Arabidopsis thaliana: one gene and its partners. The protein of the gene in region 1 interacts with the protein of each later gene in a pairwise test. Each region holds a gene or a part of one and is shown on either strand. Other genes may lie near its edges.

What was found.
Region 2: the proteins of ALMT1 (region 1) and AT5G52420 interact in a protein complementation assay, tested with the Arabidopsis thaliana proteins (one large-scale study listed by BioGRID).
Region 3: the proteins of ALMT1 (region 1) and UBC32 interact in a protein complementation assay, tested with the Arabidopsis thaliana proteins (one large-scale study listed by BioGRID).
Region 4: the proteins of ALMT1 (region 1) and AT2G41705 interact in a protein complementation assay, tested with the Arabidopsis thaliana proteins (one large-scale study listed by BioGRID).

The regions. Positions count from the first base shown.
Region 1 is NC_003070.9:2,654,991-2,663,392, forward strand, and holds ALMT1 (aluminum-activated malate transporter 1), read left to right. Parts: upstream 1-3,611; 5' UTR 3,612-3,809; coding exon 3,810-4,020; intron 4,021-4,142; coding exon 4,143-4,283; intron 4,284-4,416; coding exon 4,417-4,689; intron 4,690-4,783; coding exon 4,784-4,905; intron 4,906-4,992; coding exon 4,993-5,136; intron 5,137-5,448; coding exon 5,449-6,039; 3' UTR 6,040-6,320; downstream 6,321-8,402. Other genes in the region: BSL2 (BRI1 suppressor 1 (BSU1)-like 2), read left to right, coding at 55-139, 236-334, 403-602, 682-757, 1,029-1,164, 1,259-1,398, 1,488-1,574; AT1G08440 (aluminum activated malate transporter family protein), read left to right, coding at 8,037-8,238, 8,380-8,402. UniProt on the Arabidopsis thaliana protein: Malate transporter critical for aluminum tolerance. The STOP1 transcription factor is required for ALMT1 expression.
Region 2 is NC_003076.8:21,277,835-21,284,511, reverse strand, and holds AT5G52420 (uncharacterized protein), read right to left. Parts: upstream 2,740-6,677; 5' UTR 2,696-2,739; coding exon 1,967-2,695; 3' UTR 1,706-1,966; downstream 1-1,705. Other genes in the region: AT5G52430 (hydroxyproline-rich glycoprotein family protein), read left to right, coding at 199-1,419; AT5G52410 (oxidoreductase/transition metal ion-binding protein), read right to left, coding at 5,219-5,717, 5,932-6,463, 6,553-6,667.
Region 3 is NC_003074.8:5,793,251-5,801,462, reverse strand, and holds UBC32 (ubiquitin-conjugating enzyme 32), read right to left. Parts: upstream 4,534-8,212; 5' UTR 4,168-4,533; coding exon 4,057-4,167; intron 3,569-4,056; coding exon 3,437-3,568; intron 3,339-3,436; coding exon 3,254-3,338; intron 3,115-3,253; coding exon 2,951-3,114; intron 2,434-2,950; coding exon 1,996-2,433; 3' UTR 1,716-1,995; downstream 1-1,715. Other genes in the region: REM22 (AP2/B3-like transcriptional factor family protein), read right to left, coding at 1-142, 899-1,003; AT3G16990 (heme oxygenase-like, multi-helical), read left to right, coding at 4,680-4,811, 4,898-5,115, 5,211-5,526; NRPB9A (RNA polymerases M/15 Kd subunit), read right to left, coding at 5,764-5,844, 5,981-6,139, 6,579-6,654, 6,909-6,937; AT3G16970 (Plant self-incompatibility protein S1 family), read left to right, coding at 7,373-7,795. UniProt on the Arabidopsis thaliana protein: Accepts the ubiquitin from the E1 complex and catalyzes its covalent attachment to other proteins.
Region 4 is NC_003071.7:17,393,367-17,401,572, reverse strand, and holds AT2G41705 (camphor resistance CrcB family protein), read right to left. Parts: upstream 4,304-8,206; 5' UTR 4,063-4,303; exon of another isoform or gene 3,534-4,062; 5' UTR 3,491-3,533; coding exon 3,113-3,490; intron 3,018-3,112; coding exon 2,934-3,017; intron 2,839-2,933; coding exon 2,740-2,838; intron 2,658-2,739; coding exon 2,465-2,657; intron 2,378-2,464; coding exon 1,965-2,377; intron 1,882-1,964; coding exon 1,663-1,881; 3' UTR 1,492-1,662; downstream 1-1,491. Other genes in the region: AT2G41710 (Integrase-type DNA-binding superfamily protein), read left to right, coding at 1-37, 384-445, 529-1,313; ABCA1 (ATP-binding cassette A1), read left to right, coding at 5,463-5,549, 5,710-5,789, 5,893-6,061, 6,160-6,242, 6,613-6,829, 7,155-7,363, 7,456-7,516, 7,627-7,713 and 1 more.

The DNA of each region.
Region 1 (8,402 bases):
CTACTTCTTGCTACTTTTTGCTGGACATTGCTCATTTTGTTGTTTAATTGTCAGATATATCGACTACCTCTTCTTAGGGGACTATGTTGATCGGGGTCAACACAGTCTAGAAACAATCTCCCTTCTACTTGCACTAAAGGTAGTCCTAAGTGTATTATGTCAGTTTTGCCTTGATGCAGGTGTTCTAGTTGCTTTTGACCATAGAAGGTTTGACGTTCTATTTTTGGTACTGCAGGTTGAGTACCAGCATAATGTACACTTAATTCGGGGAAACCATGAAGCTGCAGATATCAATGCCCTTTTTGGCTTCCGGATAGAGTGTATTGAGCGAATGGTAATGTAATCTGCTTCTGAATCTCTTGTTTCCATGTTTATTTGTCTCATGTTGTGGTTGCTTTGTAGGGTGAACGTGATGGAATCTGGGTGTGGCACCGAATAAATCGTTTATTCAATTGGCTACCTCTTGCTGCATCGATTGAGAAGAAAATTATCTGTATGCATGGGGGTATTGGTCGTTCTATAAATCATGTGGAGCAGATAGAAAATATTCAACGTCCAATTACAATGGAAGCTGGCTCCATTGTTCTTATGGATTTATTATGGTTAGTCCTTAGCTTCTATATGTTGGTCTGCTTAATGTTTTGGTCGAGTCTTACTAATTTGTTAATTTGGATTTGTTAGGTCGGATCCAACTGAAAATGACAGTGTCGAAGGTTTAAGGCCCAATGCTAGAGGCCCTGGATTGGTTACTTTTGGGGTAAGTAATTTTCTTGTGTTTTAATTTTATGTTGTCTGAATTTCGTTTTTCCTCCCTTCAGAAAACCAATAATCTCTTTCTTTTCTCACAATATTTATTCTGTGCAATGAGGTGCTGCTATTGTTAGACCAAGAATATATGATATTTTTTTCTTGAAACCAAGGAATATAGTCTAGTTTGCTCCCAATAATTTACCATATGAAGAAGTGTTAATTGCTTTTGCTTTTCATTTTTACCTGTTCTGTTACTCACCAAAACTTGGCAATTGTAGCCTGACCGTGTCATGGAGTTCTGCAACAACAACGATCTTCAGTTGATTGTACGAGCACACGAATGCGTAATGGATGGATTTGAGCGTTTTGCTCAGGGGCATTTGATAACGCTCTTTTCTGCTACAAACTATTGTGGTATGTACATGGACTCACTAAGTGCCATAACCGGATTTTGATATTTTGATGGGGTTATTTCTGTTTTCTTAATAGTTTTTATACTAAATCTCAGGTACTGCAAACAATGCTGGGGCTATCTTGGTACTAGGGAGAGATCTTGTAGTGGTACCTAAGCTCATTCATCCGTTACCTCCAGCACTTTCATCGCCTGAAACTTCACCAGAAAGACATATAGAAGACACATGGATGCAGGTTCATATTGCTTCATTTCATTACTGAATCTTAGTCCATAGTTATTGACCTGAAACATTGGTACTTAGCGTAGTATGCACTTTTCGCAGGAGCTGAACGCAAATAGGCCAGCGACGCCAACCCGAGGACGCCCACAAAATTCAAATGACCGAGGAGGTTCTCTGGCTTGGATGTGAGGCAGATAAAGAGGCACTCGTGCACATACATACCGCTCCAAAAAACACTTGTAACATCTGCCTCCTGGTGTTCCTCATGTGTACAGAAAAAGATGAGCCATAGACGAGAAACGATGAGGCTTGAAGATATCAGGGGGTGTGTAAATTAAGATGTTAAAAGGTTAGAGAAGTCAGTTTTGGTGGTGGTTTAGTAGTGATTTGTAGAGTTTATTTGTCCGGGCTTTAGTCCTCTCGTTCATTTTTATTCAGTCTGCTGTTTCTTCTTTTTTTTTATCATGTCATATCTTTCTTTTTTCCTCTTCAATTGTCTCCGTTGTTTTCGTTTGTGGTATAGTTTTTTGGCGAGTGGGTATGAATTCTTAGAATGGTAATGGTTGATTAGGTGGAGGATGGTCTGATGTCGTGGGGGGGGGGGGCTTTTGTGTATTTTAATTTTATTGTCAGTTCATACTTTGTAACATTTGTGTTGATTATATGATACGAAAAATTTTCCTGGCTCCTTTTGGTTGTCTAAGCTAGACCAAAAAAGAAGAGAAAAGAAAGAACTTATGCCCTTGAAAGCGACTTTGAGTTGGTTCATGGATCCTCGGGTGATGGACTCAGTCACTCGATTTGCTTGAGATTCATAAATTTATACATGTGCTTTGTGGCCTTCAAATGAAACACTGGTGATGTCGATATGATGTGATTTGGCATCGATGCTGTCATTGGCTCCAAAAAATCATGTTTTAGCGGTGAGAACAAAAAAAACAAAATTTTTGGAGGATCAGATGGTTGAAGTTAAAACTCGAGGGTATTAGATGGTTAAATTTTAATATTGTTTTGGATATAGGATGGTGATTAAAAAAAAAAAGTTTTGATTAGTGTTGGTGCAGGAATTAGCATCTCCGATAATACCAATTTAAACCAAGGAATAACGTGAATAAAATCGAGAATTCGATTGAACCGGGGTATCCCGGCTAGTCTGTTAATGGGCCTAAGTCATGAGCTCGCCAGAAGATTTAGGTCGACAGTCAAGATCGCCATAGGCGGCTTCTCAGGTCGTGTAAAGGGAAAACTTCCATTTAAGAGAAGAGGATCTCATGAAGAATAGAAGTAATGAAGATTTAGACCTAAGATAATTAGAAGTTTATCATATTTTGGTATGTTGGACCCATTGTATAAATAGGGGGGGGGGGTCAAGCCCTCTAAGAGGATCATGACCAACCTAAGACAAGAGACTACTATTACAGAGCAAACTCTAGCTTTTTATTCAAGCAACTTTGTTCTTCTCCTTTGATTATTCGTGAGCTAAGAGAGAAGTGAATTTGTCTAAATCCCTTAGTACAAATTAATTGTTTGATTAGAGAATCAACAATTAGTTTTGAACCTGATGATGTATTGGTCAAACTTGTAATCATCGCATCTGAGTTTGAGGTCATTTTTTCCAACTGTTGTTATACATATAAAATATCCAAAGAATAAAAGCCTTGTACGATCGGGGTATTGGGGTCCGTACCAACTTGTTGACATTTTTTATGTTTTTGGTGTGTGGCAGACTAGATTGAAACAATAATGACTAAGCAACTCAGTAAGAGTCCTTTTTTTGGACTCAGTAAAAGAGTCCAAGTTTTCTTTGAACAACAAAATTTTGTTGAGGTGTGTATGCACTTGGTTGGGAACAAACAAGTAGATGGCAAAGATCATTCGAACATTGGAGCCCAAGTGTTGAGGGCACTAATCTTGTCGATTACAGAAACGAAATTATTTGGGGAAGCTGCAAGAAAAAGTTTAGTTAAATCTTTTATATTCCTTAATCAAAATGTATCATGCATACACTATATACAATTCACTAAAGTATGATAGTTAAATACCTAATTAATATCATGATCAACTCCTACCGGTTCATCTAACTAATCCAGCTCAGCATAAAAACCCTCACGCGTCGCTCCAATTAAGGGGAGGGCTTAACTAGTGCCCAACTTACTGGGCTAGGTTCGACTCCGTTTTTTTATTACATTTTCCTTTTCCATTTCTTTAAGACTTTAACCCTGAAATCTCGAAGTGCAACGCACCACTAATTTTTTATAAATATTAACATAACATTTCATGAGTCCTAAACAAGAGTCTCTCTTGGTCTTTATAAATACATCGATCCATGTACATAAAAACAACAAGTCATCTTTTCTTTCTATCTGAAAGTAATCAGAGAATCAGAAAACACTTGAGAGAGCTGAGTGACCATCAAAAGGTGTTATGGAGAAAGTGAGAGAGATAGTGAGAGAAGGGATTAGAGTAGGGAATGAAGACCCGAGAAGAATTATTCATGCTTTCAAAGTGGGACTTGCTCTTGTTTTGGTCTCTTCCTTCTATTATTACCAACCTTTCGGTCCTTTCACCGATTACTTCGGTATCAATGCAATGTGGGCTGTCATGACCGTCGTTGTTGTCTTTGAATTCTCCGTAGGTTCGTCATCTAGTTTCTATCATTTGAATATGTCTAGTAGATATATCTAGGGAGAATGCAAGAATTTTTGTTGTAAACTTTTGGCCATAATATTAAATAACTTTGGTTTGATGTGTACTTAGGGGCTACACTTGGGAAAGGACTAAATAGAGGAGTGGCAACATTAGTAGCAGGAGGACTAGGAATTGGAGCTCATCAACTAGCAAGATTGTCGGGTGCAACAGTGGAACCTATTCTTTTGGTCATGTTGGTCTTTGTGCAAGGTAAACCCTTATAACACTCTTTACATTTTCAGATTACCATGCGTTTCCAAGCGTTTGGTCAATCATTGTTTGGCTAAAGACTAGATCAAAGAAGATTGGGCAATGAGTAATTAGTATTGTGATATATGTGCAGCTGCGTTGTCGACGTTCGTAAGGTTTTTCCCATGGGTAAAGACAAAGTTCGATTATGGGATATTGATATTCATATTGACGTTCGCGCTGATATCGTTGTCGGGGTTTAGAGACGAAGAGATAATGGATTTGGCAGAAAGCAGACTATCGACAGTGGTGATTGGAGGAGTCAGTTGCATCCTTATCTCTATCTTTGTCTGTCCTGTTTGGGCTGGACAAGATCTACATTCTCTCCTTGCCTCTAACTTTGACACTCTCTCCCACTTCCTTCAAGGTTTTTTATTTCTTTCTCTTTTTCTTTTCCTCATTATGTCTCTACAAGAACATAAATATATACATATACGAGATAGTGAATGTGAAATTGGCAGATTTTGGGGACGAATATTTTGAAGCGAGAGAGAAGGGGGACTACAAAGTAGTGGAGAAGAGGAAAAAGAATCTTGAGAGATATAAAAGTGTTCTTGACTCCAAAAGCGATGAAGAAGCTTTGGTGGGCTACTCTCTCTCTTTCTTTCCCTACTTGCTTCACAATTATGAAATCATTTGGATTGATTTTGTTTTGATATTTTGCGTTTAGGCTAATTACGCAGAATGGGAACCGCCTCATGGACAATTTAGGTTTAGGCATCCATGGAAACAATATGTTGCCGTTGGTGCATTACTCCGGCAGTGTGCCTACAGGATTGATGCCTTGAATTCATACATCAACTCAGATTTTCAGGTAATCGCTAACTTTTTGTTAGGTGTTTGCATATTTAATTAAAACAAAATTTGAAAATACATAAAAGAAGAAAAACTAATATGCTATTATGCTATAACTATTTTTGATCTAATACAATATATATATCTATATATATATATATATATATATTTACATGTCGCAAATGCAAACACAAAAATAACATCAGGTTGAAATTCTTAGTCTGTTAATTTGTTTATATAGTTTTTTTTTTTAGTGTAAACATGTATAGTAGTATATGTTTCTGGTTAACGTGTTTCTAACCCTTTGTTTATTTCTTATTTTTTCTATTAGATCCCAGTGGACATAAAAAAGAAATTAGAAACACCATTAAGAAGAATGAGCTCGGAATCGGGAAACTCAATGAAAGAAATGTCCATTTCACTAAAACAAATGATAAAATCATCTTCTTCTGATATCCATGTCTCAAACTCACAAGCTGCATGCAAATCTCTTTCTACTTTACTTAAATCAGGCATCTTGAACGATGTTGAGCCTCTTCAAATGATCTCATTGATGACGACTGTCTCCATGCTCATAGATATTGTTAACTTAACCGAAAAGATCTCGGAATCTGTACACGAGCTTGCATCCGCTGCAAGATTTAAGAACAAGATGAGGCCGACCGTGCTATACGAGAAGTCGGATTCCGGAAGCATTGGTCGTGCCATGCCAATAGATTCTCATGAAGATCATCATGTTGTCACAGTTTTACATGACGTTGATAATGATAGATCAAACAATGTTGATGATTCACGTGGAGGGAGTTCACAGGACTCATGTCATCATGTTGCCATAAAGATTGTTGATGATAACTCAAACCATGAAAAACATGAAGATGGTGAAATACATGTACATACATTAAGTAATGGGCATCTTCAGTAAGTAATTCAACTCATTATTTGAGGAGCAGTCTTTTGTACCCGCAAGATTATAGAGACGAGACCATCGGTATATAACATATTCGGGTATTTCATTCAGATTTGAAGTTTGTTACAAATACTATTGTCGCCTTTGATCATTTTTGAACTATTGGTCACACATTTAATAAAGTCTTGGTCTTCGTTTTCCTTTGCGTTACTCTTTTAAAGATTTTTATATCCAACTGATCAAAAAATTTAAAAATAGCATGGTTTTATTTTTGGATTATGGTGTTTTAGAGAGCTAACCTCAGTAAATAAAAGAACATAGACCGGCGCCAGATAAAGACAAGTCCGGCAAAAACTCTAGATTGTTATTTTCTATGAATATAATTAATTTTATTCCAAACATATATCGTATGAAAAAAAAAATCATTTATCATTGGAGGAGGCGGTGATCAGGCGCAGTGAGAGGAGGAGTCGGTTAACAAAAGTGGTCTTGGCCAGTGCCAAAGCGTCATTGTAATCGCTTTCAATTCTCAAAACCAATACGGTAATATGCACAACTAATAGAATGTTTCAGGTGACAAATTTTCTCACTAAAGTCAAACTTTCATACTTGCCGATGAAGTAACAAACATACAGTACGTTCAATACATTAAGGATATATATAAGAAACAAAAGCTGGAAATTGTGTGAATTTAGCTAGGTTAGATTATAGTATAATAAAGTTGCCTTGTACGATTGGGGTAATGGCTAATGGATTCCGTACGTTGATGCCAACTTGGTATTGGCAAGGCTGAGTGTGACTCGGTGCAAAAAGCACCAGCTGCTATCTAATTCCGCGTTCTAACCAATACTACATTTTCATTTATTATTACTTTTTACAATCCATAAATCTCTCTGCTGTGGAGGGTTGATATAAGATCCGAAACTTCTTTGTTGATAAAAAAAAATCTAACAATCTTCCAAGTTCAAATCTCACTCAGGAAATATGAATGACTGAATATTTAATTAGATATTATCGAAATTGTGATTCTTGTTGACAAAAAAAAACAAATCTCATAAGAAGTGGTGATGTCAGTTTTCGTTGAGAGAAAGAGAATTTAAGTGGATATGTTCAATATACAAAAAAAAAAAAAAAAAAAAAATTGGACAATTTGGTCGAATATTAATAAGGTAGGTCTAAATATTAGTGAAAGTAACATATGTGAATGCCCAAAACGGACGGATATTTTACTAGCTTTGAAACAAAGAAACGATGGGACAAAATGACAAATTGAATGTCTATTTATTTGGAGTTTGTCATGATTATTCATGTCAAAAACGCAAACTATTATTAATAGACTGTTTATTTTATTATTTTCTTACACTCGCCGAAAATGTTCAGAATCGGAAATAATTAGATGTAACGTTCCTGTAAAAAATGCATTGAGTTTTAATTTTATTTTATTTTCTTAAAGATAAAAAATTTCTGTTAAATGAAAAATGAAAGAGTTGTGAATTACGTTTTTTTTTTTAATATTGATTATAAATGTACAGCTAGCAACTTTAAAAATGGTTAGAAAACAAATGTTGGATAGCACTATTTTATTTTTACATAAAGAAAATCTTTTGGACGTGGAATTTTAATAGAAATTTCGGAAATAAATTAAGAGAACAATACTAAAGTATGCTACTAATAGCCGCTTTTAAATATCGGATAAATCAGCACCAAAGTAGAACTTGGTTACGTAAGTACTAGTCTCTGCCTCTAATTAAAAATACTCTGTCTCCAGTTAATTATATTTCTCATTTTCAATTTCTTTAACCCTCAACGTACGATATGAAGTACAACGCACCACTGATTTTTTTCTTAAAATAATAAAATAACATTTCACGAGTCCCGAACAGGACTCTCTAGTCTCATAATGCTCATTATAAATAACGACGATCCATCCGCTCAAAACAACAAGTCATCTTTCTACTTCTTCCTCTCTTTCTGAAACTTATCAGAAAGTTGAGTGATAATCAAAGGGTGTAATGGAGAAAGTGAGAGAGATTGTGAGAGAAGGGAGGAGAGTAGGTAAAGAAGATCCGAGAAGAGTAGTGCATGCTTTCAAAGTGGGACTTGCTCTTGCTTTGGTCTCTTCCTTCTATTATTATCAACCTCTCTACGACAACTTCGGTGTCAATGCAATGTGGGCTGTCATGACCGTCGTTGTTGTTTTTGAATTCTCTGTAGGTCAGTATTCGTCATGTGATCAGAATCAGCCACTTTCTACCATTTGAATATGTCTAATATTCAGCGATAAACATTTTGTAGATTTTTCTGTATAAATTTGGCTACAAAAGGTTGTTTAACTTTTGTTTGGTGTGTAATTAGGGGCCACACTTGGGAAAGGACTA
Region 2 (6,677 bases), on another chromosome or scaffold:
TCTATTTCATGTTTGGTTAATTTTCCACGGATAGTATAAATTTCTCCAAAAGTGAATTACAAACGTTTAGCTACTTATTAGAAACTAAACAAGATTAACTTTATTATCAAAAGCTTTTACTTTGAGAAAGTTTTGTTGAAACAGTTCTCTCTAAAGGGGATCAAGATGAGTCTAATTTTGTGTGTTTAATTTGTACAGAAGGGAAGATGGGGAAAATGTTGGAGTTTATATTCATGTTTTGGAACTCAGAAGAACAATAAAAGGATTGGTAATGCTGTGCTTGTACCTGAACCGGTTACATCTGGAGTTCCGGTAGTTACTGTTCAAAACTCAGCTACTTCAACTACTGTTGTTCTTCCCTTTATAGCTCCTCCTTCATCTCCAGCTTCGTTTTTGCAATCGGATCCTTCATCGGTTTCTCACTCGCCTGTTGGTCCACTTTCTCTTACTAGCAATACATTCTCGCCTAAGGAGCCTCAATCTGTCTTTACCGTTGGACCTTATGCTAATGAAACTCAACCAGTCACTCCTCCGGTGTTCTCTGCGTTTATAACTGAGCCATCTACTGCACCGTATACTCCACCTCCTGAATCATCAGTCCATATAACTACACCTTCTTCACCTGAAGTGCCCTTTGCTCAGTTGCTTACTTCTTCGTTGGAGCTAACTCGGAGGGATAGTACTAGTGGGATGAATCAAAAGTTTTCGTCTTCGCACTATGAGTTTCGGTCTAATCAGGTGTGTCCGGGGAGTCCTGGTGGTGGTAATCTAATCTCTCCCGGGTCAGTGATTTCAAACTCTGGTACATCTTCTCCTTACCCTGGTAAATCACCCATGGTTGAGTTTCGAATAGGCGAGCCTCCAAAGTTCTTGGGTTTTGAGCACTTTACAGCTCGTAAATGGGGATCGAGGTTCGGTTCTGGATCGATCACACCTGTTGGGCATGGTTCAGGTTTGGCTTCAGGCGCTCTGACACCAAATGGTCCAGAGATAGTATCTGGAAACTTAACACCCAACAATACCACATGGCCTCTTCAAAATCAGATCTCTGAGGTCGCTTCACTGGCAAATTCGGATCATGGCTCTGAAGTCATGGTAGCAGATCACAGAGTTTCGTTTGAGTTAACAGGTGAAGACGTTGCACGTTGTCTTGCAAGCAAGCTAAATCGATCACACGACAGAATGAACAACAATGACCGGATCGAAACAGAGGAGAGTTCATCAACAGACATAAGAAGAAACATAGAGAAAAGGTCAGGAGACAGAGAGAACGAACAGCATAGAATTCAGAAGCTGAGTTCCTCATCGATTGGATCTAGCAAAGAATTTAAATTCGACAACACGAAAGACGAGAATATCGAGAAGGTTGCAGGAAACAGCTGGAGTTTCTTCCCGGGGTTACGATCTGGAGTCAGCTAACCAAATTAAAATGACATCTCTTCTTCTTCTTCCTCATTACCAAAGACAGAGATATAAAACCCTATAAGTAACAAACCTTGAACATGGATCGTGAAAAAAGGTAAGAGATTTGGGTTCTAACAACTTATACACACTGAATAAATAAGCTTAAAGCTTTGATTTGCAGTTAACTTCTGTACTCATGTAGTTGGAAACTTTGGAATATTCTTGGATCAGCTCCTACATCTAATCTTGTTACATTGATATAAATTGTTTATTTCTTGTTTTACTGTTTCATACAAATATATTGTTTGAACTGAGATCGTGAATGGTCTTATTCTATATCATTACTAAAACATTTTCATTTCTGTTCTTTCAGAAACATAGATTCGGTTATTATCGTAAGAAATCTAATACAACTGTGAACTACTACATAAACTGAATTGTTCAAAAGAAAACATCGAAATAATATACAGAACAAAAAGGGAAAACAACAAGAGCTGTGAACCACAAAGGAATTAAACCGGGTTTTGACTCTCCTTATTGGAACCGGAACTAAACCGGGATTTCAATCCTCCTTATCAGAACCGTAATACCTCTTAAACGCTCTGGGTAGATAAACCGGAATCAAAACACCAAAGAGATTAAACGACCAAATCCCTAAATTAGCCGCCGCCAAAACTTTCCCGGCATACATCCGCCGCGCAGAAACCGTCCCCGTCACATCCTCCCTCGAGAACTCACTCATAATCCACTCCACAAGAGTCAAAACCCTCCTGGCGTTGTAAACAATCGGAACAAGAATCCTCGCCGGAGCAGAGAAGCCAAACATGGTCGCTAATCCTTCCATAAAAATCTGACTCGCTAAAAGAAACACGTGCGGTGCAGCTGCGCTAACACCGTTCTTATCATCCTCAACGATTCCTTCGAAGATGTAACAGATCGGAATGATAAGCCCGACGATCCCCGCCGCTGTAACATAGATACGGAAGATTTTGTTTGTGGAGCTTGTGAGAGGAGCGTCACGGTTTGGATTGTTGTGTGGTGGGAAGATAAGTTTCGAGAGGAAGAAGAAGTAGATGAGAGTGAGGATCGTGAATATGAAATCTTGGATTGTTACGAGACCACTTGCGGAGAGAACGATGATTATTGCGAGGATGTTTAGTTGTCGGAATGAGAAGAATCCGGCGGGTTTTCCGGTGGATGATACTGTTGAGGTGGATTGGGTTTGATGTTCTTCTTCTTCTTCTTTGGGTAAGGTTATGTCGTTGTACGTTGGACCGACACCTCCAGACATCGTTTTGGTGTAAGTTTTTTTTTTTTGTTTTCTCGGGAAAATGTGGTGAGAAAGTTTTAGAGGTGGAGGAAGATAAAAAGAGTGTGAAGAAGGGGACACGTGGCGGATAGTGAAGAGTTTTGAATGGAAGAGGTTTAGAAGACGTGGCGGATTATTGTTGTGCTCACAATTAGTTTAGATTTTATTATTTTAACTACATGCAGGTAATTTCGTAAAAGTTCTTAAGAAACATATAAATATATGTGTTAATAGGAAGCCTAATTATTTTGGCTTTCTGGACGTAAGTGCACTAGGCTTTGTAGTTATAGATTTCAATTATAAGCTTCAATGATTACTAGTTATAAAAAATGATATAATTAGTTAGCAGGAAATGAATCCGGAACCATAAACTGTAGAATTGATTTAACTAAAAAGGAACTAATTACTAGAAATCGTATGAAACAAGGCATTGTAGATTACTAGACTTGTAGTAGAATATGGAATATTGTAGATATTCTACAAGAAGAGCTTAGATCATGGGTGAGAATACTTGGTTGTAGAAACAACTTTAAATTCGACCTCCAATGTCAAAGTGTCATTGTCCAAGTAATTACACTCCCGATGGCTATAGCCGCAAAATCTTCGCAACCCCACCCTTGAGTTGATTTCTTGTAACAGACGTTAACTGCAAGAAAAATAAATATATGTAAGGTATTGAAAATTTAGTTAAGACTTGAAAAAAGCAACTAAGTGATTTATTCAAGAATATAGAAAATTGTGTTTCAAAGTTAATTATACGTTTCTGTGTGACGTGATTGTTGTATACATGTGGACGTGGGTATAATACTCGGAGATCTGCATGCACGTAAATCTTCTCATCCTCCGAAAAGGTTTCACTATCAGCTATATATATGCAGAAATAAGGACAACCATTTGCCATCTGCCTCTCTTCCCTTTGGATACATCTTCAAACACCTATAGAAAAGTCACATTATTTTGTATACACTTAGCATACATAGACGTGTATATATATTCAATGACTTATTAGCCTCACCATTCTCTTCCTCCAACTGAAAAGTTGTTTGACACATAAAGATTCTCTGTCAATAAGGAGAAACCATTGGCACTCCAGGAGAATGTGGATGGTGAGAGTTTCTGATCAAAAGACATCACTTCCCAATTGGTAAGGGGTGGAACAACCATCACTTCAACACCAAACTCGCATTTTTGCCCGTCGAATATATATCCATTTTTTGGATTTTCGAATAAGTGGAGAGGAAGCATTTGAGAGAATCCCCATACCATTCTTAAAGCATTGAAACGCTTTACTTCAGTATCTATTAGAAAAAATGGAGTAATTCAACGTGACATATGTGACAAATGAACAAGTCTTATATAGTTAATATAAATATTGAATAATATAGATATGTTTTAAACCAACAACTTTGAATAGTAAAGTACATTTGTTCTTTCTTATTGTAGACGAAGAACTTGACATATGCAAAAACTTCAGATGTGCTGTCTATTTCTACGTACATTGAAATATAACCACTTCCATGGTCCTCGTCGTTCCCTTTTGGATATATAATCAATTTCCTGCAGGTTTTCTTTTTAACAGAAATATTATTGCATAAAGTAAGAAAGATTCATGTTCTTTTCTTATGATGAAGATTTAATTTAACCCTTCAGGAGCTAATGTGTACATAGTAAAATCATGGTCTATATGTGTTACATGTCTCATAAAACATAAATGGTAATATATAAGAGCAAGATTATAGCTACATACCAGTAATACCCGCCTACCGTGAAACGACGAGATTGGTATTTTTCATTGTTAAGTTGTGCGAGATTCTCAATCTTGACAGAATAGCAAGAAGGCGAGGATGTTCCGTGAAACTGCTCGCAATCGTAGAAGTTGGATTTGAGCATGTCGTTTCACCGTATGATAACGTTGTTGCATTCGAAATTGTGTTACCCATTCTTCATGAACCTTATTGGAAAGCAGAAAGAATGTTGCCAGATAGCGTTACATATAGAGAACACAAAATCTCTTATGATATCGTTTTTCAACTTTTAATGTGATTTAATCAAAGATTCATCTTTATCACTTCGTGATATCTTAGCTAATATTTATTTTATTGTTTTGAATTCAACATAGAAATCTCATCATCTCTACCTTTTTTTAATCAAAACAATAGTATCTTTTATCATATCTAACTAAAAATTTACTGCCAAGGTTTTGGTAACTAATTTTAAATATATGGTCAGATATTAAGAAAAATTAGTGAGACTCAACTTAATTTCCTATCATGTTTCAAAATTTGAAGTTGATCCAATACCATATTTATTCTTCAATTGCTTGTAGAATGGATTCAAAGACTAAATGGTGGTAGTAGTAAAAACTGGCGAAGACCACAATCATATAATCAGTGTAGTCATCTATCTAAGTTGGGGCTCATAGCTTTCCGGTTTTGGAATTTAAGACAGTTCATTGTTTTGCATCTTTATCTAACAAATCTTAATCTTCAACCAAACCGCATAAACCTACTTCGACTTGAATTTCTCGCCGAGTTTACCGACTCTGTCCTTAAACTCTTCCACAGTCTCCTTAGCCTTCACTATAGAGATATTTCTGATCTCATCAGCCCTCAAGCTCGTTTGTCTCCACACTTCCTCTGCTTTAGACTTAGTTTTGATTTTGAGGTCTTTGGCTTTGTTCTCCATGCCATGAACTTGTTGTTTTAAGGCTGATATCAGAAGGCTTATCTTCTCTATGATCAAGTAAATTACTTCTCTGGATTTCTCTCCTACATCTTTCGCCATCTTCTTCAGCTTAGCAATCAGATTTCCAGCTCTTTTCATGGTTCCTTCTACATGATTTTGCTTTCCTGCGTTCAGCCAAGTAGATTCGGTTTTTGTTGTCTGTTCATGGAGGTCGCTGTCAACAATCACTTTTAGGCCATACTTCTCCCAACGTCCTCTAGCTTCTTCTAGCACTTTTGCTTGTTCTCTTGCTCTTCTCGCTTCATCCTTAGCCCAATCCCTTCAAAAACAAAACTCAAAACAGTAAATAATCTGAAGAGCTAAACTCTCATATGTTTGATTTGTCACATTTTTCAATATAAAAGTTTTTGAGTTTCACTAATCAATGTAATTAAGAAATGTTTTGCCTCTATCTCACTGTGTAAGATCTATTCATGCTCATTTGATCTTGCTTGGGAAAGAAAGAAGAACTTTCAAGATACTATATTCTATACCTGGCAATGGATAAAGCGTTCCTTTCAACTTCAAGCTCATTTTGTAACCGGAGTATCTCTTGGTTCTCATCCTCCACTTGCTTTTGAAGTCTATCAAACCTCTCTTTCTCATATGACATCTCTGCCTTGTTACTCGCAAGGCTTTGAAGTTGTTCCTCAAGCTCATTTCGTATCCTTGCAAGAGCCTCCATTTCTGTTTCAATCGATGTGCGTTCTCTCTCCAATGCAAGAGTCTCCTCTTCTTTCTCAACTCTAAGTCTCGCTAGCTCTGACTTTGCTTCTTCAGCCAATTTCTCCACTGCATCTACTATTTCTTTTTCTCTTAAAAGCTCTTTCTCGAAGCTAGCATTAATATCCTTCTCGACCTGAGCAACCAATTCGTTATGTGCACAAACCACATTTTCGGCCATAGCCTCTGCTTCTATACGAGCTAGCTCCTCACCAACTACTTCAAAAGCATCACCAATTGCAAGAGACACAGCTGTTTGGGCTTTTGTAACTGCTTTCGACGGTTGAAACAATCTGGTACGCCCTAGATGATGGACACAAGACTTTTAAAAACAAATTTTGGTTGTGAAACTCTAATGATATGATTACTTAAGAAGCAAGAATCTCACTCACCAAAAGAAAGTGCTGTTATTCCGTGTTCTCCAGCAGATAGGTCAGCTATAAGGGCAGGCCATGCTTCTGGGTTTATTTTATCAATGTCAAGAAAACCAGAAAGTTGGTATAATTTCTGAAATAAG
Region 3 (8,212 bases), on another chromosome or scaffold:
ATCCACGCGTCTCAATGTAGTAGTATGTCGGGTTCTTGGAGACTTCTACATCCCATGTCTTTCCCCATTGCGCTCTTATAACCATCTTGTAAGAGAAGTCTTTCTCAGAGACTTTGCTTATGAAGCTGTAAGGAAGCGCTCTCTGGTTGGAACAAACAATGAAGAGTGTTAAAAACACCAGAGAAACAACAGATTCAACGTTTCAAAGACAGAGAACGTGAAGATTCAGAATTTAAACTTTTATTAAACAAAGACAACCAAAAGATTCTACCTTCTAGCCAAAGCTGAAAGATCTAACTTTTCAAATACAGAGAACCTAACATTCAACCGTTGAGACCCATAAAAACCCAGAGAAAGAACAGATTCAACGTTTCAAACATATAGAACGTAAAGAGTCAGAGATTAACCTTTTATTAAACAAAGACAACCAAAAGACTCTACCATTTAAACAAAGATTATAAGATTTAACTTTTAAAACACAGAGAACTCAAAGATTAAACTGTTAAGAGTCTTGAGAGCAGAGAAACAACAGATTCAACGTTTCAAAGTCAGAGAACGTAAATATTCAGAGATTTAACAGATTCAACCTTTCATTAAACAAAGACAGCCAAAAGCTAACAAGATCTAACTTTTTTTATTTTTTTTACAAGATCTAACTTTTAAAACACACAGAACCTAAAGATTCAACCCTCGAGAAGCTGAGACCCTTAAAACACCAGGGAAACAACAGATTCAACGTTTCAAAGACAGAGAACGTAAAAGATTCAGAGGAAAAACAGTTGCAATCTTTAAAACAAAGAGAACCAAAAGATGAATAAGCCGTAGACTTGAAACCCATTCAACAAAAAGAAGAAAAAGATTCCCACTTTTCAAACAAAGATATCAAGAACAACGTTACCATGCAGTCAGAGGATAGATCTGCCCTCTGAAAAATCTTGAAAAAGCTCAACATCTGCCGTTCTTCTTTAATCCGATCAAAAACTATGTTACTACTCTTACCCATCTCTCTCTCTCTTCCTTCTTCTATCTCACTCAGAACCTCCTCTCCTTCAAGTTTCTTTAGTATAACTCTCTCTCGCCCTATCCCTATATCTCTCTCTCTGGTGTTATAAATGGGCAAAAGTGAGTATCCAAATATGTATGCTTCTTTTCATTAAAAACGAGTCAAGGTTATAATAGTGGAAAAAGCAGTCACGTTCCCATAAATCAAAGTGTTTTTTTATTTTATAGTAATAGGCAGATGAAACAATTGCTGTTAAAAATCTGACTTCAAAGACACGCAAAAGCAGTGTTTGCTAGTTTTAGTACCTGAGGATCCCTGAGCAATAAGGACTGATAGACTTTTAACTTAGCTTCTTTTGCCACCATCCCTTCTTTTTTAAAAAAATATTATTTTCATTACGATCAACTTCATTTATTAATTTGAACCTTCGGTAACTTTTTCTCTTTTTAACGTTATATGGCAGTCAAAGGTCAAAGTTGATAACCTTTTCTAAACTGAAAAGTAAAAAAATAAGGTACAAGATGAGATCACACCAAACTAATGTGTGCAGAAGATACCCCAAAACTAATATGTTTCTGTAATTTATAATGAAAATACACACAAATATATAAACCACACGACTCACTACATGTGTGTTCATATACATACATATATGATCAAATTGTTAAACTTGACCATGAAATCTATTGATTTAAAAATTTGGATACATTTTAGACATCATGTACTCAAAACGGGAAATAGTTATGAACATAGTGGAGGTAATCAACAATTCTATTAACAAAGCATCAATGTATTGATAAAACGGTCGTCAGTGTTCAATTCCAAAATACATATTGTTAACTTGGTCACAAGCTATAATCCAATCTATCAACTAAGTTGCAAGACAATGTCACACAGAAATTATTTACGCCATTATGCACTTTAATTATATTTATAAAATATTAAACAACACAACCCCATTTCTTAAACGCAGCATTGACTTTCATCAGAGTTCAAGACTGATCATCCATAAACCCAGTACTGTAACCATTTGATTTTATGAACTTCTTCAGAAGAAGAACCATGATAGCGATTGTGAGCCCAACCGCCGCCCACGTGAAGAGTCTGTCATCGACTGGCTTCTGAGCCGCTCTTCTGGCCATCCTTTGCTCACCACTTACAGAAGCTTTGACCACAACTTCAACCGCTGGTAAAGGTGCTGCAGCGGGAACCACACTAGCTGCTGTATTGACTGCTTCAGCTGTCTCTTCTATGATTTGATCATCAACTATGGTGTCTGTTGTAGCGATGGACCGCTCTTCTACTACAGTTATCGCTTCCTGTGGCTCAACTTGGGAGTGAGCTTCTGATACGATGGAAGGTGCTTGGCTACATTCCAGAGGAAGAGGTTTTGGAACCACGGTTGCTTTGCTAAGGATGTACTGATGAATCTGCGCTTGTTAAAAGGTCATGGTTACTAAAAGTTTTTTCCAAAATTGAAGATGAATCAGAGGTATGAAACTAAAGTCATAACAAAAATCATGAAGAAAGGGACGAGAGTTTAGACCAAAAGGAGATTGTTAACACTACTATTGTCTTTTTTTTTATATTTGTGCAACTGACTACTTTTTAAAAACGACAATAATCAGTAAAATGGTGTGTTAGGACTTGAGCAGCAAATTTTACTGTATGGAGAGAATAATAACAGCTGTGATTGCAGTTAAAACAAAGCAGATACTCTTAGAGCAAACATTAAATCATAACCGCTAGAGATATGCAAGCCTAATATATAATATATTGCGATCCCGTTTTGACCACCAGCTAGTCCTATGGTTTATAATGATGCAATGCAATGGTATGGCACATACTCTACAGGTTCAGCAAGCATCTAGCTAAATTCATATATTTTCATCAGGATATTATGCATAGTGGTTCAACACCCAAGGGTATTCTAGTGGGGAACTATACCTCATCAATAATTTTTTGCCGTTCAGGAGAGCCATACTTAGGTGGTGTCTCACGTGATTTAATGGCTAGTGTACGTCTCTCATCCTTTGGATAATCTACTGAGCCCAGTGCTCCATTGGGACTTGTGGGCATAAATGCAATGAGAGCCACCAAAGCAGTCCGAACTGAAAAGAAACAAAGCTCAATCATAATACAAAAGAGCTGATATAGTTCAACCTCATGTAAATTACAAGTGTCTGAGTAATCTTTTAGGAAACAACATAAAAGTCAAGAGATAAGGTCTCTTGAGATCCATGACTTTACCACTCCATGAAGGTTGCCAATGCTCAGGGTGGTAGTTTGAAATGCTCAAGCAAATCTTGGTGTTAGTTTCAAAGCGCCCGTTAGGCTGAAACAAAAGTACAGAGATTCTTTAGATACATACTCTCTTATGGAACTTGCAACATCTGTGTGTTTTTATATATGAAATAAGAGTAAGATCCTTACGGTCAATAACATGAATGAAGGAGGTTTGAATGGATAATCTGCAGGCAACTGAATTCTCCCATGATAAATCCCGCCCTCGAATTCAGTATCACCAGGACCTCGGATGGCGAATTGCCACTCAAAGATATTCTCCTGAAGTTAAAAGATAGATAAGAGTAATCATGTAAACTATTTGGTATCACACAAGAACTTGTAAAAAACAGCTATAACATCGCGCGCAATCTATTTGGACCATGACATGTTGGAAAAAGTCTTCACAGTTAAAAAAATTAGAAACGAAGAACTAGTATGACAGCTGAGTGGATCAAGGAATCGTTCGTAATCTTCCCCACTTGACTCAGTTATTCCAATAAAAACACAAAAATCCAAACTTTATCTGTTGCACGAGTGTTGAAAGTAGAGAGACTTAGTAAATTCAGTGTATACAAGAAGATATATCGATCCTCCCTAATCATGATCGCCTAAAATCAAACACCATCACTCAGAACAGATACACAATTACAACACAACACAACATAACACAACAACATAAGACAAGGGGATTTTCTCAAAAAAGGAAATTTCAAATATAGATTCGAATCAAAATTCCCGATCTAAAAAGCTAGAATCGGAGATGTTACCTCAAGAGGAAGAGACATAAAATCATCAGACGGATTAGCTTGCATCTCCTTAACCTCCTGCAAAATCCTCTTCACCGCCGGATTCTTCCGATTATACCTCTCATCCGCCATCTTATTTATCCCCACGAGATCTTGCCGGAAGTGCAATCCGCCGCCGGAGTTCTCTCTGTCCGATTCGTCTTAACAGAAAATAATAAATACACAAAATTAGAATTACCACATGGCTTCGGGAGATGAGCTAATTAGTACGGTGATATAATACAAACACACAAAATTAATTCCAAAACATTTTCCACGTCACACTCTTTAACGACGGATACGTGACGTGAGAGAGCTTCTGAGTAAGTGCCACGTAATTAATAAACTTTAGTCATCCAAACATCTCAACGGTTCAGAAACTGTCACGTAATCTGAGAAATTTAAGCGCCTCTTTACAGCCGTCGATTTGGGAGAATCATTAAGCTATCGTGGCGAGACTTTAATAGGCCTTGGCCCATTAATTTAAAGCCCAATGAAACGTGCACGTCACAGACAACAGAAAATCAAAGCGTTGACAGTGAATCGGTGAAGAAGAAGAGTCTTGAGTCTTGAGTCTTGAGAGAAAGGAAGAAGAAGCAATTTCAATGGAGAAGAGAGGGGTGATCGACACATGGATTGATAAGCACCGTTCGATCTATACGGCGGCTACACGTCATGCTTTTGTCGTCTCGATCCGTGACGGATCCGTTGATCTCTCGTCCTTCAGAACTTGGCTGGTACTGTAATTAGTAATTACTGATGAAAACAAGGCAAAATATGAAATCTCACTCGATGACTTTTAAACGACGTTGTTTCCTTGTAGGGGCAAGATTATCTGTTCGTGAGGAGGTTTGTGCCGTTTGTAGCGAGTGTGTTGATCAGAGCTTGCAAAGATTCCGGCGAGAGTTCCGATATGGAAGTGGTGCTTGGTGGTATAGCATCGTTGAATGATGAAATAGAATGGTTTAAAAGAGAAGGATCGAAATGGGATGTTGATTTCTCGACCGTTGTGCCTCAAAGAGCTAATCAAGAATATGGCAGGTTATTGATTTCATATATGCTGATTGAATAGATTTCTCACACTCGAAAATGAAATTAGGAACCAGCAAATAAACCGGAGTTTCTGGTTAATTCAGGTTTTTGGAAGATCTGATGAGCAGTGAGGTGAAGTATCCGGTGATTATGACAGCTTTCTGGGCAATTGAAGCAGTGTATCAAGAGAGCTTTGCTCATTGTTTAGAAGACGGGAACAAAACTCCGGTGGAGCTTACCGGTGCTTGTCATCGTTGGGGGAATGACGGGTTTAAACAGTATTGTTCGTCTGTCAAGAACATTGCCGAACGTTGTCTGGAGAATGCCTCCGGTGAGGTGCTCGGTGAAGCTGAAGATGTACTTGTACGAGTTCTTGAACTAGAGGTTGCCTTCTGGGAGATGAGCCGTGGAGGACAGTAGCTAATGTTTGGGTTTGAATTTCTCATTTCCTCTAAATGCCAAAGAGAAACAAGTTCCAATCTTTATGTTTGGTGAAACACAAGTTGAGATTATGGTTTCATAACAGATTACATGAATACGGATTTGTCTCTGACTGGGGCAGAAGGTTGTTCCCGTCATTCCACATATTACACTTACTGGTAACTACATCAACTCCTAAAACTCTTAAGAACTCACCAATTGAAACCGAAAAGCTCTTTATTCTCTCCAGCGATGACCACAATTCGGGTTGCAACAGACAAAGAACAGTGTCATTCCTTCTTCACCTCTAGCCGTAGCCTGCACATTCAATGATAGCTACATTAAATCCTCAAGCGGTGTACAGAATTTGAGCATAATGTTTTGGGGAAGCAAACAGTGAAGATACAGCATAACCAAGTAGTTAAATAAATAATGGAGCTTAAGAGAGTTATACCTGGAAGAAAACGGCCTCCCTATGCTGACACTTAGAGCAACGCACAGCCTTGGTTCGGGGAAGAGTAGGGTCAGAAGCCACGTCTGTTAAGATCTGAGTTCGCTCACTTACAGAGTGATGAACCTCGTTTCTGTACACACAGCTGTTATCAGCTACCTCCTGCAAGTCAGTGCCACAAAAAGTATAAATTCTGAGATGAGGACAACAAACCCATTTACATGATCTAATCTAATCTGTCAATTTGTAACAACAAGATTGATAATGCAGCTTAAAAAATTGCAAATAACTACTCAGTTTGTGTAAATCAATAAGCTAAAAGAGGCCCTTCAAGTATTCATATAGATCTCATAAACACAACACTAGAAAGATAAACCATAAGAACTTGCTAAGCCTTAATTGAAGGAGTTAGTAAATAGAGAGGTTGGTAAAACTAAGGAAACTAGGAGCATTAAAAGAGAGATAAAAGCAGGAAACAGTTTCATTAAAGTCTCTTAATTGCAATGAAACTAAGTCCCACTCGCAATTTTGTGCACTACATTGAACACTAAAAACCCTTTTTCCACACAAAAAAAAGGTACAAAATGACCAAAAGCTATACCTGGTGATCACAATTACGGCAAGCATAGAGGAGGATCTTCTGTTCTTTGTCCTCCTTAGGATACAGAATGTTATTACTGAACCAAAATCAAACAGAAACAACAATGCAATTAAGAAAGGACCCAAAAACAAAATTCGAAAAAAGGTACTCACTTTTAGCGAATTGTCACCTTATCAACCATAGATGGTTCAACCACGGAAGAAATACATCAAAAGTAAACAACAAAAACTAAAAAATTCATGCAAATTTCGAAACTTTGAAAAAACCTAGACGAGCAGAGAGGTGCAATTCCAGAAACTAGGAACAGAATTAGCATAAGAGAGCTCTTACCATTCGCGGCAAAATTTCATAGTACTCATCTTAGCTGAATCTCTTGAGAGAGAATTAGGTTCCAAAACCAAAACTGAATCACTGTCTCAGAGAAATCTGGCGGGCTCGTTTTGTTTATTAGGAGAAAAATAATGCGATCGTCGTTCTAAATAACAGAGTCGCGTGATCGATCTTCGGATCGGACGTAGTTTCACGGGTTTTCTCGGGCTTTTGAAAATGTTATTGGGCTTTTATAAAGCTTATTGGGCTTAACACCATAGTTGACTACATATACATCAACCATGACATTTAAGTTTTTATTTGACCACATATGAAGAACAAAAAACATGTTACGGAAATGTAATAAACTGGTAACACAGTATATATCGAGTGAAAGAGTCATTCATCCATATACAATAATTTCATATTGCAACAAAAAAAAAAAAATGGGATCTCTAGTAGAACTTGTGGCTTTCTTAGTGACTATGTGTGTTAGTGTAACAATATCTCGAGGCCAAAAGGATAGCATCCCTCCAACTCCAACATCCGGTTTCGACAACCCAAGAACAACAGTGGTGATATACAATGATCTTGGGGGTCATCTGCCATTGAGATACCATTGTAAATCAAAAAATGATGATCTTGGAGACCGGAATATGGCGGTAAATGGAACTTGGTCATTTGAATTTAGACCGAGTGTTTTTGGAGGAACTTTGTTTTTTTGCGGTTTTATATGGGATAAGGAGTTGCATTGGTTCGATATCTACAAACAGAGTAGAGACAGAGAATTCGCCGAGTTTGGATGTAGAAGATGCGAATGGAAGATACGCAAAGATGGACCTTGCAAATTGAACAAGAACAGTAATATGTTTGATGTTTGTCTTCCTTGGAATTCTCAATCGCTTTAAAAATAATTAGCATGTATGTCTACTTCTATTTTTCTAATAAAAATAAAAATTAGTATTTCATGTTTAGATGAAAATACTGTTAGTTAAGAGGTACGGTTATTTAACTGACTCAAGACCAATTATATAATCGTGATGAGATTTCCTTCAATATATAATTTTTATTGACTATATATAGCTTTATATTTACCAAAATTAATATGTGACTTTAATGGTGAGAAATATATAGCTTTCCTTATATACCTAAGTTATAAATAGATTATTGACTACATATATTACTAGGCCCGCCTATTTAGGCGGGTGTACCCGAAATTTTCAAATACTCGAACGGGTCTAAACTTCAAAACCCGAAAAATTTGAACCCGAACCCGAATAGGTATCCAAACATATCTCAAATATAAGTATATATTAGTTATATTT
Region 4 (8,206 bases), on another chromosome or scaffold:
TCTCTAGGGGAATAGCGAAATATCGTGGACTTCAAAGGTAAAACTGGACCAGCAATTGAGTTCTCATTTCTCTGTTTTGTCTGAAAAACTATGGAATCAAGAGTGATCATCTTTGTGTAATTGCCTATAAGGAAGATTCTTTAGTGACACATTGTGGATCATCACGGTTTTGATTAATTGACATATGGTGGATATGCTACTAGTTAATTTCATAGAAAAGTCTATATGCTACTCTTAAGAATAGGGATATGGCAAAACTATCTTCACTGTTTTGGCTGTAGCCCTCTTTAGTTTTGTCTTTTTAACCTTCTTTCTCACAATTAACATTCATACCTGATATGCATTTCTGCTGTCTTTCCATCTATTCTGCACTTCCCGACCAGCCGATGGGACGCATCAGCCAGTCGTATGCCTGGACCTGAATACTTCAGTAACATTCATTACGGTGAGTTGCTAACAATATTGACCTAATTGAAACAAATGTTTGCTTGCATCAGACTATTCAAAACTCATTGTCATTATTAACAGGGGCAGGTGATGATCGTGGAACAGAAGGTGACTTTCTAGGTAGCTTTTGTCTGGAAAGAAAGATTGATCTAACAGGATACATAAAGTGGTGGGGAGCCAACAAGAACCGTCAACCAGAATCTTCATCAAAAGCATCAGAGGATGCAAACGTCGAAGATGCTGGTACTGAGCTTAAAACACTGGAACACACATCCCATGCAACAGAACCATACAAGGCGCCAAACCTTGGCGTCCTTTGTGGAACTCAGAGAAAAGAAAAAGAAATATCATCACCATCAAGCTCTTCTGCTTTAAGCATCTTGTCTCAGTCGCCTGCCTTCAAGAGCCTAGAGGAGAAAGTGTTGAAGATCCAAGAAAGCTGCAATAATGAAAACGATGAGAATGCAAACCGTAACATCATCAATATGGAGAAGAATAACGGCAAGGCAATAGAGAAACCAGTTGTGAGTCATGGAGTTGCTTTAGGCGGTGCTGCTGCTTTGTCTCTTCAGAAAAGCATGTACCCACTTACCTCTCTCTTAACGGCTCCATTGCTCACCAACTACAATACATTGGATCCTCTTGCAGACCCTATTCTCTGGACACCATTTCTTCCTTCAGGATCCTCTCTTACTTCAGAGGTTCGTAGTCATATATCTATAGAACCAGAGACTTCAGAGGTTACTACAACACATCTTCCTTATGTCATTTTCTTTGGCTCTCTTTCTTCTGCAGGTGACAAAGACAGAGACCAGCTGTTCCACGTACAGCTACCTCCCACAAGAGAAATGAGCCGTTCCCTTTAGACTTTATGTATGTCAGATTCTCCTTTTTTGAGATGAATTCGTCGACTTGACATCTCTTTGTCTCTTTTATGGAGAAAAAGTTGGGAAAAGTGTGACAATGGTCTGAAGCAGGAATGTACAGGTTTTGTTAGTGGTTGTGTTTTTTTTTTTCCAGTGTGGAATATAGAATCATGATATTTTGTGTAAAACAGAAAAAAGTTATCATTATAGTATAGAAGTTTGCTCTTAATATTTCTGCACAAGGTATAATATAATTTGATTGTGACCGATCTAATTATTCATCTCTACCAAATGTTACGACTATGTATTATCACATCATCTGCACAAGACTTATCTAGCTTTGATACAACTAACTGAATCCTATTACCCAGACAGGGACTGAGTATATAATAGTTCCAATCGCAAAAGAAACCACAATGGTAAAAGATGCATACGCATAGGCTCTCCATGGGTAATCACTTTCTCTCATCGCATTGAACTCAGCCATGAAGGTCGAAACTGTGCTCAGACATCCCAACAGACCAAACTGTATGCTCGAAGCAACCGTGTTACATGTTCTCGTGTTCACCTGTTTCCCAAAATATATACAATGAATGTTATCTTTTGTGATTTGATCTGTTTGGTAGAGAGAGGAGGTGAGGAAGTTTATACCGATTTCTTCAAGGTAGCCAATGCTGCCATAACGCAAGCTGCAACTACATTTGCAATGAGGGTGCCAAATGGGACCCATCTCAAATTTTGACTATCCTTTCCCAGCCCACGTCCATTGAGTCGGGCTAAGAACCATCTGAGCCAGACACCAGGGGCTGCAACTAAGCAACCAAACCATAGCTGAGCCTCGCTTGTTCCTTTGTCAAACTCTTTCACAAGCAGTATGGAACTGGCAGTGAGTAAAGCCACAAGCAACAGAAGCATCAGGGTCAGAGACACAATATGGCTCTGGAAGGTGTTAACCTTAAGACAATGGAATTTATCCTCAGAAGAAGCTCTTCTATGAAGAAGCCATTTAAACCCTTTGGCCGTTTCCACTCCCAGAATTATGGAGTATGACGTGAGAAACAATCCTGTAAAGTCGTTTATGCTGTAAGCAAGTATGTTTCATCCAATTTAGTAGGTGATTGGAGATTGAGAAGGGAATTTTTTGTTTTTACCTAATAAAAAGCCAAGCACAGCATACACCCATTGACCATCAGCACTAAGATCCAGCATTTTCTGGTTCCAACCGCTGAATGTTGTCAGACTCCCCAAATAACCAGTCGATAATCCTATCGCCACAAATTCAGAAACTCTTGCTATATCTGCTTTGAATACAACGCCAAACCAACCCATCAAGAATGATCCTACCTATAAGGAAGCATTTGGAGAATTTTTATTAAGAAAGATAGGTTTGTAATTAAGTTTGAGATGAGTGCATTGCGACTTTCACCATGTTGGAGGGAAGATCAAGGTACAAGATGCTCCCATCACTTGTTACTCGAGCACCAGTTGGCCCAAACAATTTTTGCAGCAAATATCTCGTAATGGCCTGTATATTTGGAGTCAACGAGTTGATTATAATGATTTAAACAAAAACAAAGCACAACAGAGAGACAGACAGAAAATGGAAAATAAGCATTTTACCCCAAAAATCCCAAAAACAGCCAAATGAATTAGGCATGATATGTACTCCAAGGACTTTGGTAACACTCGCTCTTCCTCCTTTCCCTGTGCAACCCACGAGCTACAATAGATCAAAACATTGGACAAAGAAACCAATACTAACAATGATGTGACTATGCAAAGTTAGAGGTAGTCTCTACGGAGTTGTTTATTTCAGGTGACAAGAGTGACTTGGTCGGTAAAGGAGATGCTGTTATGTCCTCAGGCAAAGTTTTATTTACGGAAGCAGTGTTGAAAGCTCGAAGGTCATGTAATATATCTTGTTCTTGACGAGAAGTATCATGAGTCCCTTGTTCTATAAAATCATCAGCAGACAAACGGCTGCTTCTACCAGCACTATGCCTTCTCCGAAGTGAGCGGTCCCCAATATCCCCTGCCTCTGAGACACTCTCACTATCGACGTCATTGTCAATTAGGTGAGGCAAACTACGTGATAAGCTTAAAGAAGAGGCTACACTGCTCTCCCGACTAAAAGACTTGGCTTGATAAGGTTCTATGCTGCTTTGACCCGTATCCATAGGCGTTGTAGCCAAAGCATAAGATTCTTAAATGATGCTCCACCTGCACATATTTTAAGCCACAGCCACACACACAAGAAAGAAGACATGAAGGAATGTGCAAAAAGAGACAAGAGATAATCGAACAATGTGGCAAGTAAACATTCGAGAAATTCCTAATGCTTATTAAAGACACTGTTTGAAAAGTTTAGCTGTAATCTTCAAAACCATAGCTTTTTGATACTAAGACAACAAATTCAAAAAAGTTCACATATTCATGATAGATTATGACTTTAGTTTATTACTTTCTACAGAAGCAGAATAAGAATGACCTGGTGAAGGGATCCAAAAACAGTTTTCAAGATTTTGTCCTCCACTATCCCTTAAAACAAAAGATAAAAATTTACTTGCGTTTTAGTTAGTGGAAATCGAAAAAAAGGTAGACTAAAATAATCACTTGTTCACCAATAGAGAAAAAAACGAAAATCTTAAAAAGTTGTACAGGTGGCAAAGACGAATGAATACTTTTCTTAGATTGGGACCTGTTTTGGGTTTGGATTTTGAGCTAGACATTTAAAATTCAGCAGCTTTACCTAATGGCGAATTCAATCTTAATCGTGAAGAATCAAATTTGATCCCAAAAGTCGCCGGCGGAGAAATCGAGCTAACAGGAGACAATCGAAAACCATCAATTTATTCTCTGGTTTATTGGATGTTAAGGGAAGTAGGTTCGATTGTAGAAGATGGACGAACAACAAAGCAGAAGACGATTGTAACTTTGTTTAGTCGAACACACATGTACAGACAAGTAGAGTTGGTTTAGTCGGGAAAATCGCACCCTAAAAAAAACAAAAACAATACATAAGTTTTAAAATATTTCTAAATTATGGGCCACAAAGAGCTGGCCCAGTAGCCCCGCTTCTCATAACAGATTTTTTTTGTCTCTGGCGGATAACAAAAATATCCTTGGAAACGACAGCCCAAACAAAATCATCTTTAACATATATTTAGATGTTACTTGAAATTTGATCATATATTTTGAAAAAATCCAGATAAATTATTAAAAGTTAATGGTATTAAAAAAAAAGTTTCATTGTTTTTAGTTGAAGAAAATAGTGTCATTTTGATTCTACATTTGATATAATTTTACTAAAAATTGTTTTTTTTCTGTGTTAAAAAAAAACAGCATTTTTGAGGATTGAATATGAAGGTGGATTTCTTTAAAGTTGTGTCACAACTGATAAAAATAAAAATAAGAATCAAGTTGGGGAGTGGCAATGAAAGGAATAATTCTAATGGCGGCTTTTATTGGCAACCTTCGGAAAAATAATAAAAACATTCGTATACTTTGCCGTCAAACTTAGGAACGTCGTCGTTTTCGTCGTAATATAATTGGCGTAACGCAACTCTAAAACGAATCAGGATGTTCCACGTACACTACACTAGGCTTTTAATGTGGAGCCCGTGAGAGAGCCACCCCTACTTGGCATTGACGCAAAGATTTATATTTGGGTCAACATCAGCAACTGTACTTAAGTACTTATATATATTAATTATAAGATTATCTTCTTCTTTTTTTTTGGTTTAATATAAGATTACCTTCTTAATATCACGACAACTAATCTAATCTTCTCCTTATTTTTTGGGTTTTTTGATAGAAGAAGAAAGGTCCCGTAAATAAATGAAACAGTTTCGGAATTCTTCTATTTTTGTCGACCACTTGTGTTATCCGCAGCTAGTTGCAAAATTCTTTTGTTTGATTGTATAATCAAATTGATTAATGAATCAAATAAATTGGCAGGAAAAAAAAAAAAAAAAAAAAGGAAGCACAAATGTCAGTGAGGTGAGCCCAAGTCTTCGCCACCTCTCTCTGCTTTCTTAGTTTGCTACTTTGCTTTGCCTTTTCCCAAAGAAGAACCATAAAAGTATGATTTCTTATTGAAGCCAAGACTAGAATCTATCGTCTAGGGTTCTTTCTGGGTTCCAAGGAAAAATGGGTTCATCGAAGAGGCAATTCAAGGCCATGCTCCGCAAGAATTGGCTCCTCAAAACTCGTCATCCCTTCGTTACTTCAGCTGAGGTTTCTCTCTTTTTCTTTGCTCCTCAAAACTATGTCGTTTTCATGCTTATTCACTGCTCGTCTTAATGGGTCTTCTTCTCCTTGATGCTGAATGCAATTTTTGTTTTTAAAATTTCGAATTGTTGATCAAATTTTGCTTCTTTCTCTTATTCATTGGCAGATTTTGCTTCCGACTATTGTAATGTTGCTGTTGATAGCCGTCAGGACACGGGTTGACACCACAATTCACCCGGCTCACTCGTAAGATATCAGTTTTTTACACTCGTCACTAGCCTCTCTCTCTCTCGTACTAAAATTGGATTTTGATTTCGTTTTCTGCATTTTGTTCTGTTGATCATGAAAGGAACATAGACAAAGATACAGTCGTCGAAGTGGGCAAAGGCAACTCTCCTAGTTTTCCAGAAGTTTTGAAGCTTTTGCTTGCTGAGGGGGATTTTTTAGCTTTTGCACCTGACACTGATGAAACTAATAACATGATCGACATTTTGTCTCTTAAGTTTCCGGAACTGCGGGTAATCATCATCACGTCTTCATCTTATGCTGCATTCTAGATCGATAGTTACTCTTCATATGTCACACGTTTAATCGACCCTGTGTCTTCTGTTTGCAGCTAGTTACTAAAATTTTTAAAGATGACATAGAGCTGGAAACTTATATAACATCTGCGCATTATGGTGTCTGTAGCGAAGTGAGGTATGTTTTGTTCTTTTTTCCAGCTAATAAGAAGGCAATTTCATCCCTAGTTTCTTGTCGCCTTCAAACTTTTTCTTGTACATCTCTCTGTTTATTCTGTGAATTGGTTAGCATTTCTTGAATAATGGCAGTATCTCCTTGGGTTAGTTGTTACAAATTTGCTACAACTTTGATGATTATACTACCTGAACAAGACTGGTATCTTTTCTATGTTGGAAACAGGGAGATATTTTGGCTTCACATGCCCAGTGTGTCTGCATTTTATCTTCACTAGTACTATCATCAAAGTTATAACTAGCTGTCTATGCTTTTTCGTTTTTTTTTTTTTTTTAAATGTTAAAACTGATTAAGCCTCATCATGTTTGCTTAGGAATTGTTCGAATCCAAAAATAAAAGGAGCAGTGGTATTCCATGAACAAGGACCTCATTTGTTTGATTATAGCATCCGCTTGAACCACACATGGGCATTCGCAGGATTCCCAAATGTCAAGTCGATCATGGACACAAATGGACCTTATATCAATGATCTCGAAATGGGGATTAATACCATACCAACAATGCAATACAGCTTTAGCGGATTCTTGACTGTATGGCCATTACTTATTTTCATTGAAAGTTTGTCTAATCTGTGCCCATGATTTTTCTATCATCTTTGTAGCTCTCCCCATAAAGCTACTAGGCAGTACAGTAGTCAGATAATTCTTGTCTGTAGACTATATAATCTATGCTATTATAGGGAAATATAGGATTAGTCAAAGAAATTCCAAATCAGGTGTTAGATTATCACACACTAAAGTAGTAGTTACCATTTAGTAAACTAAATCAGTTCATCTGATTTGAATAGAAATTCTTGAAGTAGGGGGTTTCATCTTGGTTTCGCCCAGTTTTGATTGGTCTTATACCCTTTTGCAGCTCCAGCAGGTGGTAGACTCTTTCATTATATTTGCTTCTCAGCAAAATAACGACTTGCCATTATCACATTCAAATCTTAGTTCAGCTCTACGCTTTGAGCTGCCATGGACACTGTTTAGCCCCTCAGTGATAAGAATGGTTCCATTTCCAACCCGTGAATACACTGATGATGAGTTTCAATCTATTGTCAAAAGCGTAATGGGATTGTTGTATGTATCACCTGCTCTATATTTTCTTTCCTTACATGTATGCATGGTATTTGAGTGTTTATGGTTTGGATGATTATATAATTGTTGAGCAGGTACCTTCTGGGATTTCTGTTTCCAATCTCCCGGCTTATCAGCTACTCTGTCTTTGAGAAGGTTGGTTTGGGTTTATGTATTTTGCTTACTTTGGAACACAGCTGATATGTATCTTTCGTTTACCAATAGTTGCTTTTCTATCACTTACGCTTTTTTTTCTGACCTTGCAGGAACAGAAAATAAGAGAAGGACTATACATGATGGGCTTGAAGGATGAGATCTTTCATTTGTCGTGGTTTATCACATATGCATTGCAGGCAAGTTTCTGCTTGAAATTTGACTTGTGAACTTTTGTTTGCCTCTCTTCCCGTGGCTATGGTAGCATTTTCTGTTGTCAACAATATTGACTTCAGCTGGAAGAAGCAGACGCTTTACTTCTTTTGATATATCTAATAACTTGTAGTTCTTGGTATATTTTGTCTTTTCTAACTAGACTTTGTTCTGCAGTTTGCATTGTGCTCTGGGATTATTACAGCTTGTACGATGGGAAGTCTCTTTAAGTATAGTGATAAGACCTTAGTCTTCACATACTTCTTTTTATTTGGGCTCAGCGCAATCATGCTCTCATTTATGATATCAACATTTTTTACTCGAGCAAAGACAGCTGTGGCAGTTGGGACCCTTACCTTTCTCGGAGCCTTTTTCCCTTACTACACTGTAAACGATGAATCTGTCTCCATGTATGTTTGTGCTTTTCACTTTTGTTATTTTTTTCGTGACGGCTGTTTTATGGATAGACAAAAGTTATGC